Oreochromis niloticus: one gene and its partner. The protein of the gene in region 1 purifies or fractionates together with the protein of each later gene. This does not show direct contact. Links are inferred from orthologs where the notes say so. Each region holds a gene or a part of one and is shown on either strand. Other genes may lie near its edges. The genes, in order: stat1a and irf9.

Region 1 (12,201 bases):
ACTTTGGAACTCCTTACCCCCTGACCTCAGAAACATCACTTCATTCCCTCTTTTTAAGTCCAAACTCAAAACCCACCTGTTTAAAATTGCCTACTCCATATAACTTATCCAAGATCTTAAACTTTCTATCTGCTATTTGTATTATTGTGTATATTTCATGTTTTTATGCCTGTTTTATTTGCTATACAGTGTCCTTGGGTGTTCTGAAAGGTGCTTTTAAATAAAATGTAAAATGTATTATTATAATGTGCAACATCTTTCTTTAGTAGTTTTTCATTTAATTGGGCTCACCTGGCAAACTAATTATTACAGGTGTCCGAGATTGATTTCAGTGATCCAAAGAGCCCTGAGACACGATGCCATCCATGAGTTTAATTGAAAAACAACATATTTAATCTTTATGACACTTAAATAATATTTACATAATAATTTGGAATGACATTTTTGCTTTCTTCTGACCGCTACTCATGCTAGGTCGGAATTTTCTCCAGGATCCCGGGCAGATTGACTACTTTTTCTTTTCAAATATTTATCTATTGCTATTACGCGCTGAGTTGTCGCATGACTATATGTTATTTCTTCTTCATCTCCTTCTGTTTTACTAGCAGTTGGCAACCCATTTAATTGGAGCAAGACGTTGTACTCCCCACCAGTGGAAGAGAATTTAATTGTTCTTCCTGTTACTCACATTCGCTTAGAGTACTAATCAGGTGAAACCAGATAATCTTCCACAGCACACCTTTGTGCTGCAGCACAGTGGTTACGAAACACTGCCATAAGTGACTGTTGGTCCCCAGAAGTATAGTAGCATGCCAATTTTCTGTCCTCACAAAGATGTCTAAACATGTACACACACTCACAAACACACTTGCCCAAGACATGTGCAACACTACAGAGCAATTTTGCACATCTATATAAACCTTGTATATTTGTACAATTGTATAGTTGGTATTTATATTTATAGTTAGCTATTTATTTGTTTTCATTTTTATTTATTCTAAATGCTGCTACCGGGGAGCTGCTTTTTGTTGAACCTCTGATGTTTAATGACAGTAAAAGGATTCTGATTTATCTGCTGTGACATGGTTTGCGATGGTTTCACATTCACATAGCCCGTCATCCGCCGGTTGGTGCTGTGCGATACTGCAAACTTTTGGTATCAATCCGATACCAAGTGAATACAGGTTTTGCAGATACCAATACCAATAGTTTTAACCTATAAAGGGAAAGCAGTGTGGAGACGTGGTTTGTAAATATGGCTCTCTCTAAGCCACTCTGGGTTAGTTACTGTTGTTTAAATGTCTTATAGGCTAGAAATACAATAGATGTGACAATCTGCATGTCCCTGGCCAATTAGTAGATTGCAGTCTGTTGACATCATGTTTTGGGCTTGACTAGGCTCGCTTGGGACTCCTAAAAAAGTATTTAAGTACTAAAGAAGTACCTAGTACAAGGTGCTAACACCTAATGGAAAACCCTAAAAACTGAGTCGAGCTGAACTAAGCCAAGCCGGCTACAGCCTAACATAGAGATGAAGAAGTGAACCATCACCTCCAGAGAGCAGCAGTCTGATGTTCAGTGTTCACTGCATCTGCTGATTTTCAGACCTTGAAGCTGTTTGTGAGTTCCCCTTTGACAGATCAGATCCACAGCAAAAACCAAAGAGAAACAGAACATGAGTGGCAGTTTGAGAAATTATGAAATCAGGATTTTTTATTTTTGTTTAAGCAGACGGTTAATGAGGAAGAGGAAGCAGGATGTGGAAATTAACAGACATGTCATTATTAGACCAGCAATGTTAAACTCATTTTACATTGTTGGCCACATACAGCCTACTTTAATCTTAAGTGTGCCAGACCTCTGAAACACCCTTTTCTATCAATATAAAGAAATTTAATTACACATTTATTTTCTGAGATATCTTAATATAAGAAAACAAAGGGCTATTTCAACATTAGGTTTCAGTTTTTTCCAAAGAAATGCTTCTGTAGTAAATGCATGAAAACTGCCAACTCTTAAATTGAAAACTCTTAAATTGTAAGACATACACATGTGAAATTAGAGAAAAAGTGTATCCATGTGTACAATGGAGAGTGTGCAGTGGATACACAGTGGATACATTGTGAAAAAACAAAAAAAACAAACCCAGAAATTTTTGTAGTGGTAAAAAAAAAAAACAGGAACTCCCAGCTTTACCCACATCCTCAAAAGATCTGAGGATCTACAAAAAAACTTGAATTTCACAGTGTTGGCAGTCAGGCTGCCCAAATTCACAGGCTGCATCCACCTGAGGACCCACCTAAATATAACAGGACACTGGCGTAAATTCTCGACCATCTCACACTTCTGTTTAATCAGTTTTCTGTTTGACGTTTATTCAGCTGTGTGAAAACCCCCGGAGGAACCCTACCAAGGGATTAATAAAGTTTTATTTAATCTAATCTAATAATTTTAATCTCAGCCAAACCGATTTACTCAGGAACAAATAAAACACTGAAAAAAGTAAAAAGCAATAACATTTTTAGGCTATCTAAGTGACTTATATATCATGTTTAACCTGAGTAGCGAAAGACCACGGGGGTTTGAAAACGATGTGCCGGGAGTTCGCTGTTCTCGCCGGCTCAGATATTTGAAGTTTACTCAGCTACATTCTCGCCTGAAAATATGCTAAAAGTTTAGTTTGCAACCCAGAAAGAGTAATAAGAGTAATATTAAACCTGAGTAGCTGCCGCCATTGTTGGAAACTGGAATTGGCTGGGCCATGCTATGAATTCTGGGATATGGTTTTTCATTTTTGTTGTCCGGGTAGAAAATCAGGAGAAATTCGGGAGAATGGTGGCTCCGGGAGATTTTCGGGAGGGGCACTGAAATTCAGGATTCTACCAGAAAAATCGGGAGGGTTGGCATGTATGCCTGTCGCCTTGACGTCTGTGGTCATGAAATCCCTTGAACACCTGGTGTTAGCCCATGTGAAGGACATTACAGGCCACCAGTTGGACCCTTTGCAGTTTGTCTACCGGTCAAACTGGTTGGTGGATGATGCACTGCTTTCAGCAACTTCATGATAGCCTCTAGAACAGGGTGGGGAACTCCAGGCCTCAACGTCCGGTGGGCTGGCCTGCAGGTTTTAGATATCACCCTGGGTCAACACACCTGAATCAAATGATTAGTTCATTACCGGGCCTCCAGAGAACTTCAAGACATATTGGGGAGGTAATTTAGCCATTTAAATCAGCTATGTTGGATCAACGACATGTCTAAGGACCTGGCCCTTGAGGTCTGGAGTTCCATCCATTCGCTTCCGCTTATCCTTTTCAGGGTCGCGGGGGGCGCTGGAGCCTATCCCAGCTGTTATAGGGCGAGAGGCGGGGTACGCCAGTCTGTCGCAGGGCTAACACACAGGGACAGACAACCATTCGCACCTAGTAGCAATTTGGATTATCCAATTAACCTATCCCCACAAGCTGCATGTCTTTGGACGGTGGGAGGAAGCCGGAGTACCCGGAGAGAACCTACGCAAACACGGGGAGAACATGCAAACTCCACACAGAAAGAACCCGGCCTGATGGTGGAATTGAACTCAGGACCTTCTTGCTGTGCGGCAACAGTGCTAACCACCGTGCCACCGTGCTGCAGGTCTGGAGTTCCACACCCCTATTTTAGAAGGTTCCTAGCATAGCACAAAGAAACAGGGAACCAACCCTTACTTCTACTAGGATAATAAGAAACAGGTGATTGATTTATTGAAATCTGTCATTCTTCAGAAATAGTTCTTCAGGTTTCTTGAAGAACATTCAAAGCTCTTCTTTGGATGTTTCTGCCTTTTGTTCTGTTCTCTGTCAACATGATCCCACACTGCTCCAATAATGTTGAGGTCCGGGCTCTGGGGAGGCCAATCCATGACTGATAGTGTTCCACTGTGTGTTTTTTCTATCCACGTATGTTTGTTGCATTGGCAGTGTGTTTGGGATCATTGTCATGAAGAAAAATTAAACTGTTTCCAATCAGATGCTTTCCAGATGGTATTGCATGCTGGATCAAAATGTGATGGTACTTTTCTATGTTGATAATTCATCAGTTTTTACAAAGATCTTCAACATCACTGACTGAAATGCAGCCCAAACAATGTCAGAGCCTCCACCATGTTTTACAGATGACTGTAAACACTCACTGTACCTCTTTTCTGCCTACCGGTCTGCATACTAATGATGATTAGAACCATAAACCATAAACATTCAGATCTGGATTCATCACTCCATTAGACCGGTTTCCACTTACTTTCAGTTCAGGCCTTTTCTTCCTGTTTCCCTTCCTGTTTAAGAATGGCTTCCTGACAGCCACCTTCTACTGAGACCATTTCTGATGAGGCTTCGGTGAACATTAGATGGATCAGCTGAAGGTCCAGATGCATCTACCACTTCTTTTTTTCCTCTGAAAGAATTAAGTGAAGTGAAAATTTAGCTAATGCCCAAAGAAAACCTTTGAGAGGTCTTTGGAAAGCCTGGGGAAATACTGCTCAAAACCACTTAGAAAATTACAGGAAATTCTGCTTCTTGGAAGAAATGTGGGCTGGGTCAAGGAAGTTTTCAACTTTGTAAAATATAAGAACTTACCTTACAAAGAAGTAATATTAGTGAAATAATTACGTTTTAAAACCGGTGATTTTTTGTTGTCGGTACAAGATTATAACTTTTTACGGAAGCGTAGAGCTGCCACCCAGGCAAAAGAAAAATAGAAGTATATCACGTTATAACGTGAAAAGTTTATTGTTCTAACAAGATACTTTTCATGTTTGTACAATATACTATCATGTTTGTACAATATACTACTATGTTTGTACAATATACTTTTGACGTTTGGACAATATAATATCACGTTATTACAATATGCATAATTATTACGTTCGTACAATATAAATATCACGTTCGTACAATATAAATATTGTACGAACGTGATATTTATGTATATTGTAATAACGTGATATTATGTTGTTCAAACGTCAAAAGTATATTGTACAAACATGAAAAGTATCTTGTTAGAACAATAAACTTTTCACGTTATAACGTGATATACTTCTATTTTTCTTTTGCCTGGGTGGCAGCTCTACGCTTCCGTAACTTTTGATATTTAGAGTGCAATAATTATTATTTTTTTCTAATTTTTTTTTAGTTTTTTGTTATGTTTTTTAAATGCGTCTTGTTTTAATCAGTTATTGTTTTCTTATTCCACAATTTTTGCACATGTCAACGATCAAACAGAACTTTTAAGTTAAGTTTCAGTTTCAGAGTTGTAGGCGTCCTTGCCGCTTTCTCTTTCTCTGAAAACACGTGGTCACTCTCGGCTCTTCTGTTTACTGACTTTCTCCCTCCGAAAAGCCTGCGTCATGTTGCTTTAAACTAGATTAAAAATACATTTTATGTACAGTGTCGTTCTCTTTAACTGTGTTCAATGACAAAATACATATTGACTCTTCATGTTATGCTTACAGGGGCAGCTTTAAATAAAAAAACACCCTCTGTGTATTTTTTTTTTAAGGCATGCTTGGTAGCTGTGAAGAACAGCCGTTTTTCCCTCTTTGTGATTGGCTGTCTCATGGAAAAGGGCGGGGGCTTGTCGTAAATGGTGTGCGGTGATTGGCTGATAGTGTTTCCGTAAAGTAAGCTGCGCCACTGGAGTAGAAAAAAGGTAGGAGAGCTGTGTGGCTTGTTTCTGGCACATTTAGGGACTCAAGCGTTTTCGGAAACACAACTTACTTCCTGTGGAAGCTTATACACGTTACCTTTACATTAAAGGTAAGTTACACGACTTACATGTTCAAAAGGTGACGTTGTTTTATATAAATCGCCTCTGTGACCTTTTATTTACACAGCAAGCCGTGCTAGGGGAGCATTTAAACTTGACGTTGCTAATCGGTAATGCTTAAAAAAACGACTCCTGGAAACACTTAACGGTAGTTTACGCGATATAAGCGTTCCTCTGTGTATGTTGTAATATTTGTGTATCTGTCCGTAGCCGTTATTTAAATCAAATCTTAACTTTTTACACGCTTATGTCCATACCGCCCACCATTAGGGGTCCGAAACGTAAATAATTACCCGTCAACCAAGTGTAAAATGGGATCTTAGTCGATGTGTAACACCAGATGAATTATTGTATATGCCGATCGCTCAGGTGAGGCACCAACATGTAGAGAATCTATTGAGTCTTGTATTGTTAGACGTTAAAATAAGGGCCTCTGCTTGAAATCCTTAAAAAGACACATTACCGATTAGAGTTTGGCTGAGGAGAGCTAGAAAGGACCACAGGGCTGCCTTAAGTGACTTGGGGAGCCAGAAAGGGATCATGCTCTAAAAATGAAAGCTGTGAAATTGACTTATTGGCTATGATCGTCTTGTGAATGTGGAATTAGGTCATATATCTAGATAGACATACGTTTAAATACTCTTAATGATATATTTTTAAACTGATGCTGGAGGCAAAGTTGCATTTGTGGGGAAACTGAAACCTAAGCTGACCTTAGACGCCTCCTACATTCAGGTTTAGCCACTTAGAACAAGATAAATACAGATAAGATTGAGTTTGATTTTTAAAAAAGTAAACAACAAAAAGGTTAATTTGTCTCTTCTTTAGCTGTCAAACAATCCTGTTTTACAATATGGGAATTAATCTGTGGAGCTAATTACAGCTTATGAGCTTCAGTGTCTATGAAATCCAGCTGCTTTTAACAGAAATCAGTGTTGGATGTTCCTTTACATCATCACACACATATCTTTCTTTGCTTTTACTTTCTGATCTTAAGTCAGAGCAGAACTGAGCCAGGAAGGAGGCAGGTGGCAGCCCGTGACAATCCTCGAGTCAGCACTTATAATTTCAGAATTTCTCACACTAAACAAGCAGCTGGTTTTCTGTAGTGAGATAAATGTTTCGGAGCTTCCTGACCTTTGTCTTCTGTCCACAGTGCTGCAAGGAGAGTCAGAAATAAAAAATTATTTTCAGTTAGACCTTCAAATTATTGAATTATCCTCATATATTTATGGGTTTAAGATGACTTCTTGGAAAACCAAGCTCTGAACAAATGACTAATAAATGTTTCCTTTATTTATTCAGGATTATTACACACATCTACATTGTATATAAACTTTAACTGGGTATCCACATCTAGCGAATTCTCAAAAAGCATAAATTCCCTTTAAAGGGTTTTTAAAAAGTCTCAGATTTCTGCCACTTTTATCTCACAGCCTCATGATAATAGATTCTGTATGTTTTTATTAACTGTTGTGTGTCTACAGCTGGAGACTGCAGACAGAAATGTGACATACATGTCAATAAATTCACACACATGATCTGCATTTGTGGGCATTTAATAATCCGGCTAGAGTTTTCTTCAATCTTTGATGACACACCAGTGAAAAAGTATATAAAATCAGACTTTTTCTGCTCATTTCCAGCTCCATATTTTCACTCCTGGACTCTGCTAGAGTAGCTTTGCATGATTCCCAGATCAGAATAGTCCTTATTTATCTCATACTTGGTCTCCAGTTCATCCTCTGTCTAAGCTGTTTTTGCTCCTTCACTTTTAAGCTGGCTTTCCTCTGATTGGCTGCCCCTCACTATCAAGACTTTTGTTGCACATGTTAAAGATATGTGCCCTCCATGACATAAAGATCAAAGAGTAGGAAAATAAATTATTGAAACTGAGTATTTAGAGCAGTCGGAGGCTACAGTGATTACTCGCACATACACTGTCCTCATTATTTGAAGCTCTGTTGGATGTTTCATATCAACATCCACCACAGAAACAGGCTATGTATGACAGCAAAACCACTTTAACATTTCTTATCTGTGACACTAAAATGGCAGATAATCTTGCCTGATGCTCGGTAGAAAAACCTGTATATATGTAGCCACCTTCTGTTTTTTTAGGAAAATCATGAAGCTGAGCATTTTGGCCACCACCTACCTGTTGATTTGAAACTGATTACCTCTTATTTCTGACACTAATACAGCTAAAAAGCAATAAAGTTAAGTTCATGTTATATTAGCAAGATGTGAAAGTACAGATTTAGGCAAATAAATTCACCAAGAGAGTTTATTTTATTGGCATCACTGAGCAGGGGAAGAGGCTACCTGCTGGTCATTAGTAAGAATGCAGCTTTTAGACTCTCCCGTCTTTTATGTAAGCTGTGGCACATCGTGCAAAAAACGTCCTGACAGAGCTGCTTTCATTCACCAGAAGATGGCGCAGTGGGGCCAGCTTCAGATGCTGGACAGCAAATACCTGGAGCAGGTGGATCAGCTGTACGATGACTCGTTCCCCATGGACATCCGGCAGTACCTGAGCAAGTGGATCGAAAGCATCGACTGGTAAGAAGTCCGAATAAAGGGCAGCGTCTTTTTTTTTTTGCCAAACGTTTCTCATCGACTCGTTTGAACCATTAAAAAGTTGTATTTATTGTAATACCTGTACTGATTTACCTAAATTTTTTTATCTGGCATATCCCCTCCATACAAAAAAAAAAATAGAGGAAAAACTAACACTGAAACAAGAAAATCAAAGGTTGCAAAGTAAATCAAAGCAAAGGTTAAACCGGATGTCCTGATGGAAAAGAAAATTGTAGGTGCATTTATATCGGGATCGTAGCCCAAACAGAAGCGAGCTCACACTTGTGGACGTGGATCTGGATCTATGCTCCTGCACTGGAAACACCAGGGTCACCAAGGATATGGAAAGCTTCATGACATTGTATCCACAATGCAGGGATATAATAACATGGACTGAACCACCACTCACAACCACTAGCATTTTATATAGCCTCTGTAGAAATTATCCATATATCTCACTTATCTTAACTGCACTACTGTATAGTTCTGTGTAAATAATCATTCTGTACATATGATAATTTTTAATCCTACAACTGTTCATAACTTGCATAGTTCACATTTCTGTATAACTGTATATCTCATATTTCTGTATAGTTTTTTATTTCATATTTATATCCTTTTCATAGCCTGTACATAGCTTGTACTCACTACAGCCTGTACATACTTATAGTTATAGAATATTCATAACATACTTCACACCGTGTATAACATACCATAATAGACCCATTTCTGTAATATACTTACATATCTATATTATTGCTAATATATATTGTAATATATCTATATCATGGCTAAAGCACTTCTGGATGGATGCAAACTATATTTCGTTGCCCTGTACCTGTGCAATGATAATAAAGTTGAATTCTATTCTATTCTATTCTATTCTATATCTTTGCGCATATTGAGAGTTTTGGTTCAGCTGCGCAAAGTTAATTACATGTGGGAAAAAAGTCCTCACAGCCCATAAAATCCTGGTTGTAAAAGTGCAGAAATACCTGTCCTTCGTCATCATTTCAGCATCTGTTCATTAACGGTTCCATTGCTAGATTTTTATCAGACCAAAGCAAAAGTGTTTGAGCTAATGAGACTGATAATCATGGACTTCTCAATATTTGGATAAAGGTTTTGTTGAAGCACAGCATTTGCTGAAAACCAATTTGTAACCCTTTCAAGGTTAACCCCAAACTGAGCGTCTTCTGTTCATGCTACTCAAAGACTTACTGTGGTCTCCTCAGGGACACGGTGGCCATGCAGGACTCTCTGGCCACTGTTCGTTTCCACGACCTTCTCGCTCAGCTGGACGACCAACACAGCCGCTTCGCTCTGGAGAACAACTTCCTGCTGCAGCACAACATTCGCAAGATCAAGAGGAACTTGCAGGTCCGACCCTGGATTCGAAACACTTCTGTGTGAGCCAGGTTAAATTCCTTTATGTAACTAAAAGTACGAGCGGTTCTCTCTCCAGGATCGCTTCCAGGAAGATCCCGTCCACATGGCCATGATCATCTCCAGAAACCTGAAGGAGGAGCTGAAGATACTGGAGATTGCAAAGAGCACCGAGGTAAAAGCTGCAGCTCGGTTTCGTTGTTAGAACAGAACTATGACACCAGAATAACACCCGACAGATCTAAATCCTTCCGTTAATCAGACTGGGGTTTAAGTTATAAACAAGTGTGCAGGATCCAAACAGCTTATAGGTGGATTACAGCCAGCTTCTGGTGCTAGTAGACCATCCTGAATCCTACCAGATGAAACTTAAAGCAAGAGAAAAGATGCTTTCAAGACAAAAATAGCTGAACAAATGATAAGAACTGTATTACTTTTCCAACTTAATGGCTGCTTGAATGCTCCAAAATCATGCTGATGCACGGTACACATGTCTGCATGCTCTATGAATCAAAGCCCAATATGCACACAGGGACTGAGTTCTCATTCTTCAAAATGAAAAATCAACAGAAACAACCTCAGAATCAGCTTTTTTTCTTATGTACTATAACTTTAGTGCATTAAATAATGCTATAAAAACCATTTCATCTTCATGCTGTTTATATTCTCTTACTCTCACAGAGTAAAAAAAAAAATCATCCTATGTTTGTTTGTTTTTTTCCTAGTAATATTTCATCTGCATGATCTCTTTCCACTCTTACACAGAATACATGACCACGGATATTTTCTACTTCACAGCCACAAGCCGTAATCAGAACATTAAAGCGACCTTCTCCTAGATCTAAAAGACAGAAAGAATTGGAAAAGATCTACTTCATTACACCCCTTATACCTAATTTTTTGTCATGGACAAAACTGCCACGCTTGTGGGATAAATTACTTTTAATTTAAAAGGAAATACCATCTGTCCATCCATCTATCTTCTTCCGCTTATCCGGGGCCGGGTCGCGGGGGCAGCAGCCCAAGCAGAGATGCTCAGACCTCCCTCTCCCAAGCAATCCCCACCCACCTCCTCCACTTATCCGGAGGAACACCAAGGCTTTCCCATGCCAGCTGTGTCCTGGGTCTGCCTTGGGGCCTCTCCCGGTGGGACATGCCCGGAAAAGGAAATACTTACCTGTGATATCCTCAACGATCCCAGAGTGATGTTTTTGGCCCTGATGAGAAACTGGCTAAAATTTGCTCCTCTGTGGATTTTGTCTTAAGATTGAGACACTTGGAGTGGGTGTAATCTTGATCTGATTTCCTTGTTTAGCAAAGCTTTAACCTCTATGTCTAAATTAATACTTGAATTCAGTTTTACTTTTAAAGATCCCGAAGAGTCTAAACCTGTTTCTGTTTCGGAGACGCTAAAATGTGTGACCTTTGTTTCGGTAGGATGAGACCGATGGGGCAGTGTCGGCCATGGTGGTGGAGAAACAGAAGCTGGACAACAAAGTGAAAGAGATGAAGCACATAGTCCAGGTAAAACTATACGCAGCGTGTAGGTCCCAGCTCGAGGTTGGCCCGGCTCTGCTGGAAAATCTCTAACGGGTCCGGTTCCTTTGACTTTTTCAGGTGGTGGATCAGAACATTAAGAACGTAGAAGACCTGCAGGACGAGTACGACTTCAAAGTCAACACACTGAAGAACAGAGGTGAGGAAATCAGAAAACTCGTTCAGGCTCAGCTGTAGAGCCAAACCCCAAAATGTGATTGCAGTGATTTGGATGGCTGAGGAAATACTTCTGGCAATACAGTGAAGATCAACATGTCAAGGGGCAATTTGAGTTCTTGGAGACAGAGAAATAATTTCAGAGAGCCGACTGAGTTTTGAGGTTTTGATCTAAAGCGCACTTGTTACCAAATGCAGTGATCTGATTGGTCCGATCTGTTTATTCTGATCTTAAAAAGTCGGAACAAAGGAGCTCGCTTTGGTAAAATTACAGAGTGAAAGGCCTTTTCCAAACTGACATATATTAGATGCTCTTAAAACTTCATATTAAAATTTAATCTATGTTGCTTCCAAGTTTTAATTGTGTGGATTTTTTTTCCTTCTTCTGCAGAGAATGAAATGAACGGCATGACGGTGAAGGAGCTGGAGAAGGAGAAGATGACAGTTGGGAGGATGTGCTTTGAGCTGAAAGCCAAGCGTCAGGTGACGAGAAACACTGAAACATGACTAACATATAATCCCTCTGAGGTCACTGGGTTGTAACAATAAAGTCATTTTGAGGTTATAAACAGTTTCTTTCTGAGGAGTTTTAAATGCCATAACAGGACATTTGATGTGACTGATGCGATGGACTCTTGGGTGTGGGGTTTTTTGTTTTGATTTTTTAGGACGCTGTAGTCGGGCTGAACGAGCTGCTGAACATCACTCAGGCCCTGCTGG
Region 2 (13,019 bases), on another chromosome or scaffold:
TGACACTCTTCAAGACCCAGTTTGTCCAAATTGGGTTTTTTTAGTTGTTGTTTTTTTTTTTTTCACTCCTGTCGAATCTTCTTTTTAAACCAGCAATTTGTACGTCCAAATCTTTGGGGCAGGCGAGACACTAGTAATGTTTGCGTTTGCTCCCACTCTGATCCGTCTGATCTCATGATAGAAATATGTGACTCTTCAGTGGCTCTATTATGTTCAGCTGTGTCTCTGTCTGGTGGTGTGTTGTGACATCTTAAAGAATTTCCGCTTGAAACAGCTGCCTGCTGTGCTGAAACATCCCTGCAAGAGTGATGACATAGAGCTAAACAATGAGCTTCAAATTCAACTTCCAGTTCAAGTCGAGGTTCAACCGTAAAAGAAGTTTTAACGTTGATTTATGGAAACGGTCTGCAACATTTGAGACAACGATAAATAATACACACAGGTGCAAAAACTTCTTACCTTCTGGTTCTCTGTCAGAGAGATTATCAGGGTTCATATTCAAGAAATCCAGCAGATCCGGAAAGACAGGATGATGCTGGAATTTCTTTTTTTCATTATACAGTCACTTCAGCCAGTGTCACAAAAAAACCTCTTAAGATAAACAACTACGTATGCAGGTCCTCCCCAACACTTAAACGTTTTACACATTCCAATACATACCAAAGGGAAACAAAATGAGATTTAAAGCTTGGAGCGACTGATTTACTGTAATCTCATCAGAAGACTGTAAATTGAGGCAAGTTCAGGAACAAAAACACTGTATAAGAATTCATCACCACACCAGGTATCTGCTCAGAGCTGCCAGGAACTGCTAACATCAGCTTTTTCCCTTTAAAACCCAGAGTATGATTCAGAGAGTAAATCAGGTCAGGCAGACGCACCAGTTTGAATTTTATTGTTTAGGTTCACTGTCACGGCAACATTTGTGGCAGCAGTTTCCTAAAAGAGCCACTCTGCACTGCCTGCTCAAGCAGACTCAGCTGAATGGCAGCTTGTGAGTAAAGTGGTGGTCAAATAGTTTCCTTACATGTTGGTCGAGACCAAACACAGAGTGAATATTGGGTTTGTTTAGGTTGTAGCTGAGTGAACTCTTTTCCAATACACCGCCTAAAAAGAAAAATCAAATATTGTAGGTGAATCTGTCCCTCCTTTGATAAAGATAACTTCTGAGATTCAGGTGTGTGTTTGTTCCCACAGTAAGCACTACAGGGAGTACCTGGTGAGCCTGATAAACGCTCACTCTCTGGACCCGGCTCTGATCTACGACCTCAACGAGGTGGTTCGCGCCTGTGAGAGGTACCAGGTGGACGTACAGCGAGGAGAGGGCGAGGAGGACAACGCTTACCAAACTCGACTGCTCAAGGTGGGACGCTGATGAATGTATTCATGCACACAGACAAAGAGTTCAGTAGGACTGGGCACTTTGGATAATGAAAAAACTAAAATAATAATAAAAATAATGACCAAACCAAACCATAAAATGACATATAATTACTCTGAGAATGTCAATAAATGCAGTAACAACTAAAAGAAAAGAGAGAAATTAGAAACATTATTACAAAGGGGATTCAAAAAATTAATTAAAATAAAAATTCCTACCCTAACCTACGATCATTATCTCTGGAAAATGACTGAAAGAATGAGGGCTCTCTTTTAAAGACGGAATGAGGAGCTCGGTTTGAGCATGCCCTACCAGGAGGAGGCCCCAGGGCCAGACCCAGGACTAGCTGGACAGATTATCTCTGTTGACGAGCTGGAAGAGAAGGCCAGGGCGAGGGAAGTCTGAATATGAATATGAGTGAATTAGGCTAAAATCAAGAGAAACTAAAAATAAATCAAATTTTAAAAAATTAAAATTGATTAAAACTACAAAACATCACAGTAAAATAAAAAAAAAACAAGAAAAATTAAAAACAGCTACAATAATAAAACATCCAGCATTACTTTATGTATTTAAAACATATTGATTAACCAATTAAAACCACTACAATCGTCTTTAAGTAAACTAACAGTGTGAAAAAAATTAGGAGCCACTAAAAATATTAAGACTAAATCTTGAAAAAGTTGATTTAAAAAAAACAAAACATGATCAAATATAGAATTCAAAGGTACAATAAGCTTTATCAAGTAAAAGAAAAAAACACTGCAATAAAAATATGACTCATAAAAATTCAAAACAAATTCCAACACGGACACAAAGTAACTAAAAATATCTGCTCATGGGGAGTCACACGGCATCTGTCCTTAAAAAGAAAGCAGAAATGAATTTAAGGAAACTGCCTGTCAAAGCAAGTCATAGTTTTCTTCTCCTGTTCGACGGCCACTCTTCACAGTTACCTTTACAAATAATCACTCTTTCTTTGGTTGAGATCAAGTAGCTGATTTCTGTTCTCCCCACAGAAACTGATGGAGGTTCCTCTTGGAGAAAAAGTTCCTCGAAACAAATGAAGACTTCCAGACCTTTTTTCCAGACAGATCCTCATCAGAGGAGTGTACTATGAAGCAAGCTCAACAAAGCCAGGCTTTCTTTGCTTTAGCTGGCTTGACAGAACTTAAAATCCCAGTCAGACATAACTGCTGCTTCTCAACCTTCTCTGTTAATGGAAGCTTTCTGATCCGGGTTCACATTAAAGGTGGTGTATAACGCATTATTTCACAAAATGATTGAATGCCATTTACGTCAATCAGAGGAGGTCACTGAGAGAGATGAACGATATATTTTAAAAGAAAATGAAGCCAAAGATGAGTGCTGCAGAAAGCTTTTAACCTTGCCTAAAAATCTCAGTTTTAACGTGACAGTAGCAGATGAGAGCTTCTTCTCGATTGATCAAACCAGACAGTTTGTAGCATGTGACCGATCGCAGACTGAAAACTGGCAGCACAGCAGGGGATAATACAAAGGAAACTAAAGCTGTAATCTTAGAGAAATATGAACAGTTTAAACACAGAAAACAGAATCAGCAATGCTCCATCATTGGGATACAGGAGGACCTGACATGATTACAGCTAAATATTCCATTAATTTAACAGGCTTTGTTGTTTAATTTAGACTGAATACAGAAATTCTCCAGGAAACAGAGAAAAAAAAAAAAGCTACAAATAAAGTTTCTCCTAAAAATCTGCATTTCATGATTGATGCTTATCATTTAGACTGTCACTACAAACGCTGAGCTCCATGGGGAATGGATTCACTGTTTCAGGTGATTTCATATGTGCTTTGGTGTAGCTGCAGTGTAAATTACCATGGCGATGTAGCCCTGTAAGAAGGAAACCAAGGTTTAAACCTGACGTTAACTCCATAAGCCGAGTCCTGCTTTGATAGAACAGGACCAGGTTGCCTTAAGCATTAGTTATGGTGATCTAGCAGGTTAAACTGAGCCTGTGGTCATCAAGGTAGAGCAGGTAGGTGTGTGTGTGTGTGTGTGTGTGTGTGTGTGTGTGTGTGTGTGTGTGTGTGTGTGTGTGTGTGTTAGAATAAAAGCGCTGTATGAATGTGTGTGCTTGAAGTGAATGAGGCTTGTAGTAAAAAGCACTTTGAGGGTTCACGTTCATTTAAGAGATCCACCTTCATCGCAGTGAAAACTCTGACTTAAAGCTCGATATGCCCAACTAACTGATTTATCTCTCTTTGTAGTACACCTCTCTAGATTCAGACTGTTTTTAATTAGCATGTTTATTTTATTTTAAATGTATTTGAAATTTGTTGTTTTATTTTGAAGGAGACAAACCTTTGGAATGGGTCTAAAAAATCATTTATTTGTGATTTTCTTTTGCCCTCACGTTTTGTGCCTTTTAGGTAGCAGTGATGCACAAATTTTAAGATTTGAAAGGAAATAATTTGTGGTGTGGAGCTGGCTCTTGATGTAATAAACTCGGTTTGATTTATCCAGTTAAAAAAATGTAAATGTAAAAGTCAGTTCAGAATAAATGTATGTTTATTAACCAAAATGTAATTTTTTTTCAGTCTTTAACATTTTGTCTGAGAGTTTCTAGTTTTTTCTGCTTTATAAAAAGTGGGTGGATATATGAGGTTGAACATCATCTCAATAAATAGAATTATTTTAACGAAAGTGGAGTTACTGATGTCTGTTATGTTTTGACAGATTTTGTGGTGTTTTCATTAATACATTCTTCTGAAGTTACTTTAGCCAAATGTGACTTTTAAAGTGTTGTTTTTAATGAGAATTTAAACGTTACATTTGTAAACAACAAGATTACAGTTTACAGTCTAAAGAAATGATACAAACTTGTGTAAGGAGACGAGATTTCCTCTGTTTCGTGAATGCATCAGCACTGTTACTTACATAGAAACCCTGTAAGCAAAAGCAAAACTGTTATCAAATAAAACATTTAATGAATTCTGTATCAAAGAAAAAAGTCCAAGCTAAGACTTAAAGTTAACACAAAAATAATTTTTTAAATTTAAAATGTAAAGTACGTCTCATGTTACTTATTATTCTGTGATTGTATATCAGTGAGATTCAGATGCTTTATCTTAAGTAGCCCATAAGGATAACCATTCAGAGGGTTTAAATAACCTTTAATTGAATTTAAACACACTACAGTGAATTGATTGTTTGGAGATTTGGTATTTTCTTATTAAAAGTGCCTGAAAATAAGGAAAAAAGGCACAAGAATAAAGAATAAATGAATCATTCAGTCAAAAAAACATTGAACGTTTATACTATCTCTGCTGTTAGTATATATATATATATATCTATATATATATATATATATATATATATATATATATATATATATATATATATAGATATATAGATATATATATAGATATATAGATATATATATAGATATATAGATAGATATATAGATAGATATATAGATAGATAGATATATATATATAGATATATATATATAGATATATATATATAGATATATATATATAGATATAGATATAGATAGATATATATCTATATAGATATATATCTATATCTATATATCTATATATAGATATAGATATCTATATATAGATATAGATATCTATATATAGATATAGATATCTATATATAGATATAGATATCTATATCTATATATAGATATCTATATCTATATATAGATATATAGATATAGATATATATCTATATATAGATATATAGATATATCTATATGTATTGATCAGGTGTAACATTATGATCACCTACTTAATATTGTGTTGGTCCCCCTGTTGCTGCCAACTGTTCGCTCCATGGATCGGACTTGTTTGTCCAGCACGTCCCATAGATAACTGATTGGATCGAGATCCGGGAAATTTGGAAGTCGAGTCAACACTTCAAACTTGTTGCTGTGCTTCTCAAACCATTCCTGAACCATTTTTTGCTTTGTAGCAGGGTGTGTTACAATGCTGAAAGAGACCACAGCCATCGGGGAATACTGTTTCCATGATGATTGTGGATGTACATGACCCTAAATACTGCTTAGCTAGGTGGCAAATGTCAAAATAACATTCACTTTGTTGGCAGGACACAAAGGATTCCCAGCAGAACATTTCCTGAGGAATCGCACTGCCTCTGCCAAAAGATGACTCATTGGCCTGTAATCTGCCAAAAACATGTCAAACATATGCCTTATGAATATTATCACATCATTTTGACCCAGAAAGAATATTCCTATTACAAGGTGGAAACTTACGCTTATGGTGACTAAAGTTAAAACAAGATCTAAGAACCTTGTATACCTCTTGTATAACTGTTTGACTGTCTGGACAAGTTACACAAAAATCAATCTAAATATACACTCACTGGACATTTTATTAGGTACAACTTGCCAGTAATTTGCTAATACCTAATTTTTCATGGTGTAGATTCAACAAACATGCCTCAGAGACTTTAGTCCTTACAAGATAGCATCACAGCTGCTGCAGCTTTCTCGGTGGCTGTGATGTGAATCTCCTGTTCCACCACATACCAAAGGTGCTCTAATGCAGCGGTCCCCAACCTTTTTTGCGTCACGGACCGGTTTATGCCCGACAATATTTTCATGGACCGGCCTTTAAGGTGTCGCGGATAAATACAACAAAATAAAACTAGTACCGGTACCGAAAAAAAGAAGATTTATTCATAACACACGTGAAAAGACCCAGGAAAACCGAGTTAACGATAAAAACGATAACAAAATAACGCTGAAAACCGATAAAAACCCTGAAAAACACAAATTTCACACCTGAGCCTCAACTCTCGTGGCCCGGTACCAAACGATTCACGGACCGGTACCGGTCCGAGGCCCGGGGGTTGGGGACCACTGCTCTAATGGACTGAGGTCTGGTGCATGTGGAGGTCACTGGGTAGAGTGAACTTATTGTCATGTACAAGAAACCAGCTTGAGATGATCTGACATTTGTGACATGGTATGTTACTTAGGTCATAAACATTTTCATCCAGATAACTGCTGCTCACTGGATATTTTCCCTTCTTTGGACCATTATCTGTAAGCACTAGAGATGGTTATGTTATAAAATCCCATCAGATGAGCAGTTTCTGAAATACTCAGATTACCCCCCCCCGCCCAATACACTAACAATCATGCCACATTCAAAGTCACTTAAATCACCTTTCTTTATTGATCTGATGCTTGGTTTGAACTTCAGCAGGTTGTCTTGGCTGTGTCTACATGCCCAAATGCACTGAGCTGCTGCCACGTGATTGGCTGATTGGATATTTGCGTTACAAAGCAGTTGAACAGGTGTTCCTGGCTGGTTAGTTCATTTCCAGCTCATATATCTGCTTTATTTGTCATGCAATAATGAGGAACAAGGCCTTACCTGGCCATGAAACTGCTTCTCACTTATTGTCCAATTACTTTAGAGCCTTTGAATGTCATTCTTAAACAGATAATGGAATACTTTTTCCCATCCCCTTGAATGAAAGGTGAAAGTCTGCACTTCAGTCACATCTCCACTGTCTCCTCTGTGCACATACTCAGGACCCTGTGTCTCTGTGTGTGCTCACTTTCGCCCCCTGGTGTCAGACCTGCGGAGGGTTTCTCTAAAACCACGTGACTTCGGGGAAAAGGAGCGCCTTCACAGACTGAGCCGCAGAGCTGAAGAGGAGAAGGCAGTCAGTCCGCAGGCACCGCGGAGGAAACACAACCGAGGTAAACGAAACTTAAATCAACTTCCTTAATTTAACACCTTAGCGTCTATATTTGATTTTTTATAAATATAACATGCGGCGGTGGGAGGATGTTTGCAGCTGCTTTGTTGTTTCCAGTCCAGACTCCATTTAAAAAAGACCTAATTTTAGAAAGTTTTTGTCTTTCTTTTCTTTTTTAATGTGTGTCGGCTCTGTTTAAAGACCCGGCTTGAACACGAGGCTTGAACTTGGCTTTTTACGCGAAAGCAAATCGACCTTTATTCATATTTTTACATATTTCTTATGTCTAATATTGGATGTTTTTGATGTGCTCAGAGTGAAGCTGTGCTATTATTAAAAATGTGAGGCGGGGTGGGTGTAGGAGGGCATGTCGGGGCAGTTGATCGAAGTTGTTTGTGTTGATGTTTTGCCGCTGGCCTTGAAACTTTGCGGTGTTTTCAGCATTTTTAAAGAAGCAGCGATGGCAGCTGGGAGAATGCGTTCCACTCGCAGACTGCGCTCCTGGATCGTCGAACAGGTGTGTGGCTGTGTATGTGTGTGTGCATAAGTGTGAGAGGGTAAGGACAAATGAAAGAGGGGGGGGGACAGGGAGAGGAAAGGGGTGATTGAGAGGTCACTAACAAACATATATTCATAACTATGGGGCTGAAAATGACACCAGCAAAAGTTTAACTTTTCTCTTGTTAGAAAATCAGCTGCAATTGCATAATCTGCTTAAGCAAATTGTAGGTCAGCTGTGGAAAAATGCACTTTTCTGTTTCTACTATCATATAAATGTGTTATAGGTGGTTATTGCAACTTTTTGTTTTTATGAAACAGTTTGAACCCTGAATTATTAACTAAAGTCATAAACTGAATATCAGGAAATAACTGATTTTGACTTTAGGCCACAAAATTCTGTGTATTGTGTAGAAGTGATATCCGCTGAGGTTGAGCTCAGCTGCACTTTCAACAAGTTTATATTTTTTAGATTAGTTGGTTAAGAAATAAACAGATATTGCTCCAATTAAGTGAATGTGTTCTGCTTTTTCTTGTTTTCTGACATATATAAGTGAGATCAGTGCAAGTGCAAGCTTCACTGTAGCTCTAAACACTCAGTTTCAGGCAGTTTCTTCCACTCTTGGAGCTTTATGAGGTCACAGAGAGCAAATCAGGAGAGAGTTAGCCTGGAGAGAGCTAAAACAGCTAGTTTCAGACAGGATGAATTAATGGGGCACATCAAGGCCTGATATGAGATAAATAAGGATTATTCTGAACTGTTAATGATGCAAAGCTACTTTAGTAGAGTCCAGTAATAAAAACGCTCAGTTCAATTTTATTTATATAGTGCCAAATCACAACATCAGTCGCCTCATGTTGGTTATATATGGTTGATATATTGTAAGGTAAAGACCCCACAATAGTACAGAGACAACGACAAATAAATAAATAACTCCTTTTGAGCAAGCACTTGGCAACAGTGGGAAGAAAAAACTCCCTTTTAACAGGAAGAGCCCCCCACCAGAACCAGGCTGAAGAAGGGGCAGGATCTGCTGTGACTGATTGAGGGTGATGAAGAAGAGACAGGGCAAATTCCGTGACACAAAAAAACCAATACAATTGTCAGATTTGATCATTTCAGAACACTAAAGTTTGCATATTTTTGCTTTAAAGGTGGATGATGTTGTGTTTTCTGCAGTATTAGTCAATCTAAAAGTGTTTTTTCTACAAAGACATGCAGAAGAGGTGGCTGGTTAGCAGCCCTGATTTATGTCTGCAGGTATCCAGGTTCAGGTGAAATTCAGGAAATCTATAAGCTTCTTAAACTTTGCCGTGTTTTTTGGTTTGTTTCAGGTCAGCAGTGGGAAATATCCGGGACTGGTGTGGGATGACGAGGCCAAAACCATGTTCCGCATCCCCTGGAAGCATGCGGGGAAACAGGACTTCCGCAAAGACGAAGATGCTGCGATCTTCAAGGTAGCTCTTGAAATTCTCAAGATTTGCTTTAAATGCCACAAATCCAGTCTGCTTTAAATCTCTGAGATCGCCATCGCTGTTCTCCCCAGGCGTGGGCAGAGTTCAAGGGGAAGCTGACAGACGGGGGCCAGGACAACCCGGCCGCTTGGAAGACCCGTCTGCGCTGCGCCCTCAACAAGAGTCCTGAGTTTAAGGAGGTGATGGACCGAGCCCAGCTGGACATCTCAGAACCATACAAGGTGTACCGCCTGGTCCCCATCAGCGAGCAAGGTGAGACTTGAAGTACCTACTCAGCGCGCTCTGGCTAGGTCGTAGTACAACTTAGTTATACCTCAGCAGCAAAGCATTTGACTTACCTCAAACCTGATAACCTCAATGACAAAATCAGTCTCGCGGTCACACGAAGGTGGTTAAGTCAACCTAAAACTTCCCAGTGGGTCACATGAGGGCACACGAGGCAGGACAGACGTGTGACAGCAATTACAAAAACATACATGTGAAGCCTAGGCGAGGCCCGAATATGCAGTGTAAAGACGCTGAATTCATTAATGTAACCATGGATGTTTTTCTGTAAGAGCTCTGATAGTTGTTGTTCACACTTCACTGGCTCAGATGTCCTCCATCTCAAGACATCTGTATTTCATTAAGAATAACTGCTGTTTAAGATTTATTAGCTCACAGTCTAACACGAACAGCCCGGTTTCACTCCTGATGGCAGAACAATGCAGGCACACCAGCGCACAAGGACCCGTTGTGGTGGGAATTCAAAGCAGCACCATAAATTATACCGCTGCCTTGTTTTACGAAACCAGGAACAAAGTACAATATTTGAAAACTCTCAGTAGGTTTAAGACACAATACAGCCTGAGCAACAAAGCAGGCTGGGAGTGTGCATGAGAGGGAGAGTGTAGCGTGAAAAAGTCTTGTATATATGCTAACGAAGGTCAGTAAGACTGGAAAAGCTGGCAAAAATGTTGAATGTTAAAGTTCTTGGTATCCCTGCTCGATGATGAAAATGAATAGACCTAAACTACTCCTAAATCAATGTGAAGGTTTGGTGAAGGTATTTTTGTAGAGCATGTAAGATAGTTTTATAGTTTTTTCAGAATTGTTGAAAATTTTATACAAGATCAGCTAGTAAGCAGCTTAGGCTCCCTGTTTTAGTATAAACTTTGCGTATTTGATATAATCTCTGAGCCATCAGAGTCTTAAGAGGGTCTCTAAGACTACAGACTCTCTACCTACACAATGGGGTCGGGAAGTGGTGACCCTTTTTCTGAGAATTGTTAGGTCACTAAGTGGTGGGTGCTGGTATGCGTTGATCTCTTATCTGGAGCAGGTGTGGTTTGCAGCATATGCTAGCATGGCACTGTGGCCTGGTAATGCCAGAGTCCCACAAATAAGAAGGTTGAAGAACGTTGCAGATATGCAATCACACTGCTTTGAAATATCTGCAACCATTTGAGTCAGTGGTTGATCAAGTCAGTCTGCAATCAGTTTACAACTGTATGGGGTCAAGTTGGCAATTGCACACAAATATCTGTGTTATTGTGTGCAATAGTTTTCTCTCTTGCAAAGAGTCATGTAACAAATAATTTGCCCTCATTGGTGCAGACTGACTCAGTCTGATTGCAGCATGTTGGCAGTCTGTCTGTGTTTATACATTAGGACGGTGATTACGTGGAAACAGCTGTTTCACAGTGATTGCAGTCAGTTGGACTGTTTGTTTGGAGACAGGTTGCCTCCCACCAGGTGATCTGTGCAATCGCCTTGTTATTACAGTAATTAAAAACCCAGAGGTTAAGGTTATTGGAACCTCTGGTCAGCCGATGCCAGATGCAAAAAAATTCAATGCAATCGCCTGGCAACCACCGAGTTTTCCTAGCCACGATGTTCCTGTCCAATTTTCATTTAATGTAACTGAGCCAAAAAGACGTGACCCACCCTTAAAAGAATGTACATCCAGGGTTAAACACAAAGTTAGCACGATAAGCCTCAAATCCTGCTACATAGTATCAGCCTGTGATGATCGTGGCTGGTAAACTGATAGCTCAGTTGCAATGTAGGGCAGACCTGCAAACATTCACACAGTCACATGGTCAGCTTCCCTCTGCCAGGTTGGGTTTTTATCTCAAGATAATGAGCTGCAGCCTTTGTGTCACTTTAGCAGCCAAAAAATAAACTTAATCCTGACCTCTCTGAGTCAGACTGGTGAACTCTAGCACATTTAAAGCAGGTAGTATGGGAATACTTGTAGCTCCTCGGGGTTAGTATTTAGTCATGATGGGGGTTAACCAACAAACCCATTCTGTTTGCAATACACTTTCACAACAGTCTGTTGCATTTAATACAACAGTGGATGTTTGCCTGGCTGCCACTTAAAACTGTTCCAGTTATTGATTGAGAAGTAAAAACAGTTCACACGCTTTGCCACGCCTGTGCATCCTCATTAAACTGTAGGGTGAGATGAGCAACTGCAGGCCGGCGATGTCTCAAAATGCAGCAGCTCTTTTTCTAAGAAACAGAAACCTCAGGAAGCACATGACAACAGTGTCTGTCTCTTCAGGCTGCAGACGCACAGATCCAGCGCGTTGATTGGTTGGTTACATCTCAGAGATCATGCGAAGATTAAGAAAGATGAACTAAAACTCATTTCCTCTCACTTTTAGTAAATGCAGGTGGTCAGTTTCTTCTGCTCTTAATGTGGAGGAGCTTTGTAGCTTTTATTCTGAAAGCTACAGTTACCAAGCACTTGACTAACAGCTCTGCCATCAATTCTGCTTTTACAAAGACCTACTTTTTCAGCTTTTCTTTATCATCATAACACCACATAAATACTGCATTAAACAATTACTATTGTACATGAACCAGTCAGAATATTAGGAACACCCAGAAGCCCACCATCACTAACTATAAACTCGATAATTAACGTGAACAAACTGAGAAATTGGATCTAAAAGTTTCCCACGGCTGATGGTAACGTGTTTACAGTTTTGCCCGACTGTTAGCAGGGCTGGCATTGCTGCTGTTGAAAGTTGATGTCAGGTTTATAGCTTAATAGTTCCTCTGTTTGACAGAGTTGAATATTTAATCTGTCAGCAGTACGTCACAGACCATCAGAAATAGTCTGATAAGTTTATCAGCGGCAGCCAGCGAACTTAATGTTATATGTGCTGCAAAAACAGCCTTCAGTTTTCGGCTGGTTTTAGTTGCTCGTCCCTGCAAGACTTTTTAAAACTAGCAGAAAAAAATTAATATAATATGATTTTAAATGTCAGAATGAGTGACACTGAAGCAAATTTATGCAAGAACTGAAGGAAGGGTAATCAAATATATGTATGTAGGTTTTCTTTGTTGTTGTGGTCGACATTGTTCTCCATTTTTAAAGGTTTGATTCACTAAAATAATTAAAGTAACCTTTATTTACATCAGAGAAATGAATGTAAACATATTACATATAAACGTGGTTTTAATCGGAGTGTTTATCTGCTGTGGGTGCTGGCCCACTCACAGGATTTCTGTTTGACTTCAGATTAACAGTAGATGAGAAAATGGAGGTTTAGCTGCGTTGGGTGTTGCAGAGTAAATGTTGCACAATGTGCCTGCAGAAACTGGTGAACTTTCATCTCTATTAGCGCCCTGTTAGTCTGATCACCACTTCCACCTTTTCTGCAGCGTTAAGCCCTCTCGCTGTTTATTTCTCTCACACGTTTTTTTCTTTAAGTGGCCGTGCTTTTGGACCCTCTGACTGTTGACCTATTTTCTGCTGTTTTGCCTGTTTAATGTCATAAAAATGCCAAACAAATATGTTATATGTAGGCTGAAGGGAATTTAAAGCTCTGCCGTGCCCTCTGCGCTTGTTGTGTTGCCGATGTTTGTCTGTTTCCAGGGAGAAATACCTGGATTCTTGTGTGGATTTATGACCATCTTTTCTTCTGATAATCTCCTGCACTT

The links.
Region 2: the proteins of stat1a (region 1) and irf9 purify together in Homo sapiens (affinity purification with western blotting; 5 studies listed by BioGRID and IntAct, with this or other methods). This does not show direct contact. The link is inferred for Oreochromis niloticus from reciprocal best matches to the Homo sapiens genes STAT1 and IRF9.

What each region holds. Positions count from the first base shown.
Region 1 is NC_031986.2:20,024,305-20,036,505, reverse strand, and holds the start of stat1a (signal transducer and activator of transcription 1a), read left to right. Parts: upstream 1-5,636; 5' UTR 5,637-5,792; intron 5,793-8,180; exon of another isoform or gene 8,181-8,233; 5' UTR 8,234-8,236; coding exon 8,237-8,364; intron 8,365-9,617; coding exon 9,618-9,762; intron 9,763-9,847; coding exon 9,848-9,943; intron 9,944-11,205; coding exon 11,206-11,292; intron 11,293-11,385; coding exon 11,386-11,464; intron 11,465-11,872; coding exon 11,873-11,964; intron 11,965-12,149; coding exon 12,150-12,201. UniProt on the Homo sapiens protein: Signal transducer and transcription activator that mediates cellular responses to interferons (IFNs), cytokine KITLG/SCF and other cytokines and other growth factors.
Region 2 is NC_031974.2:8,875,327-8,888,345, reverse strand, and holds the start of irf9 (interferon regulatory factor 9), read left to right. Parts: upstream 1-6,958; 5' UTR 6,959-7,110; intron 7,111-7,550; 5' UTR 7,551-7,569; coding exon 7,570-7,626; intron 7,627-8,942; coding exon 8,943-9,065; intron 9,066-9,154; coding exon 9,155-9,335; intron 9,336-13,019. Other genes in the region: E3 ubiquitin-protein ligase RNF31, read left to right, coding at 1,198-1,363, 2,401-2,448.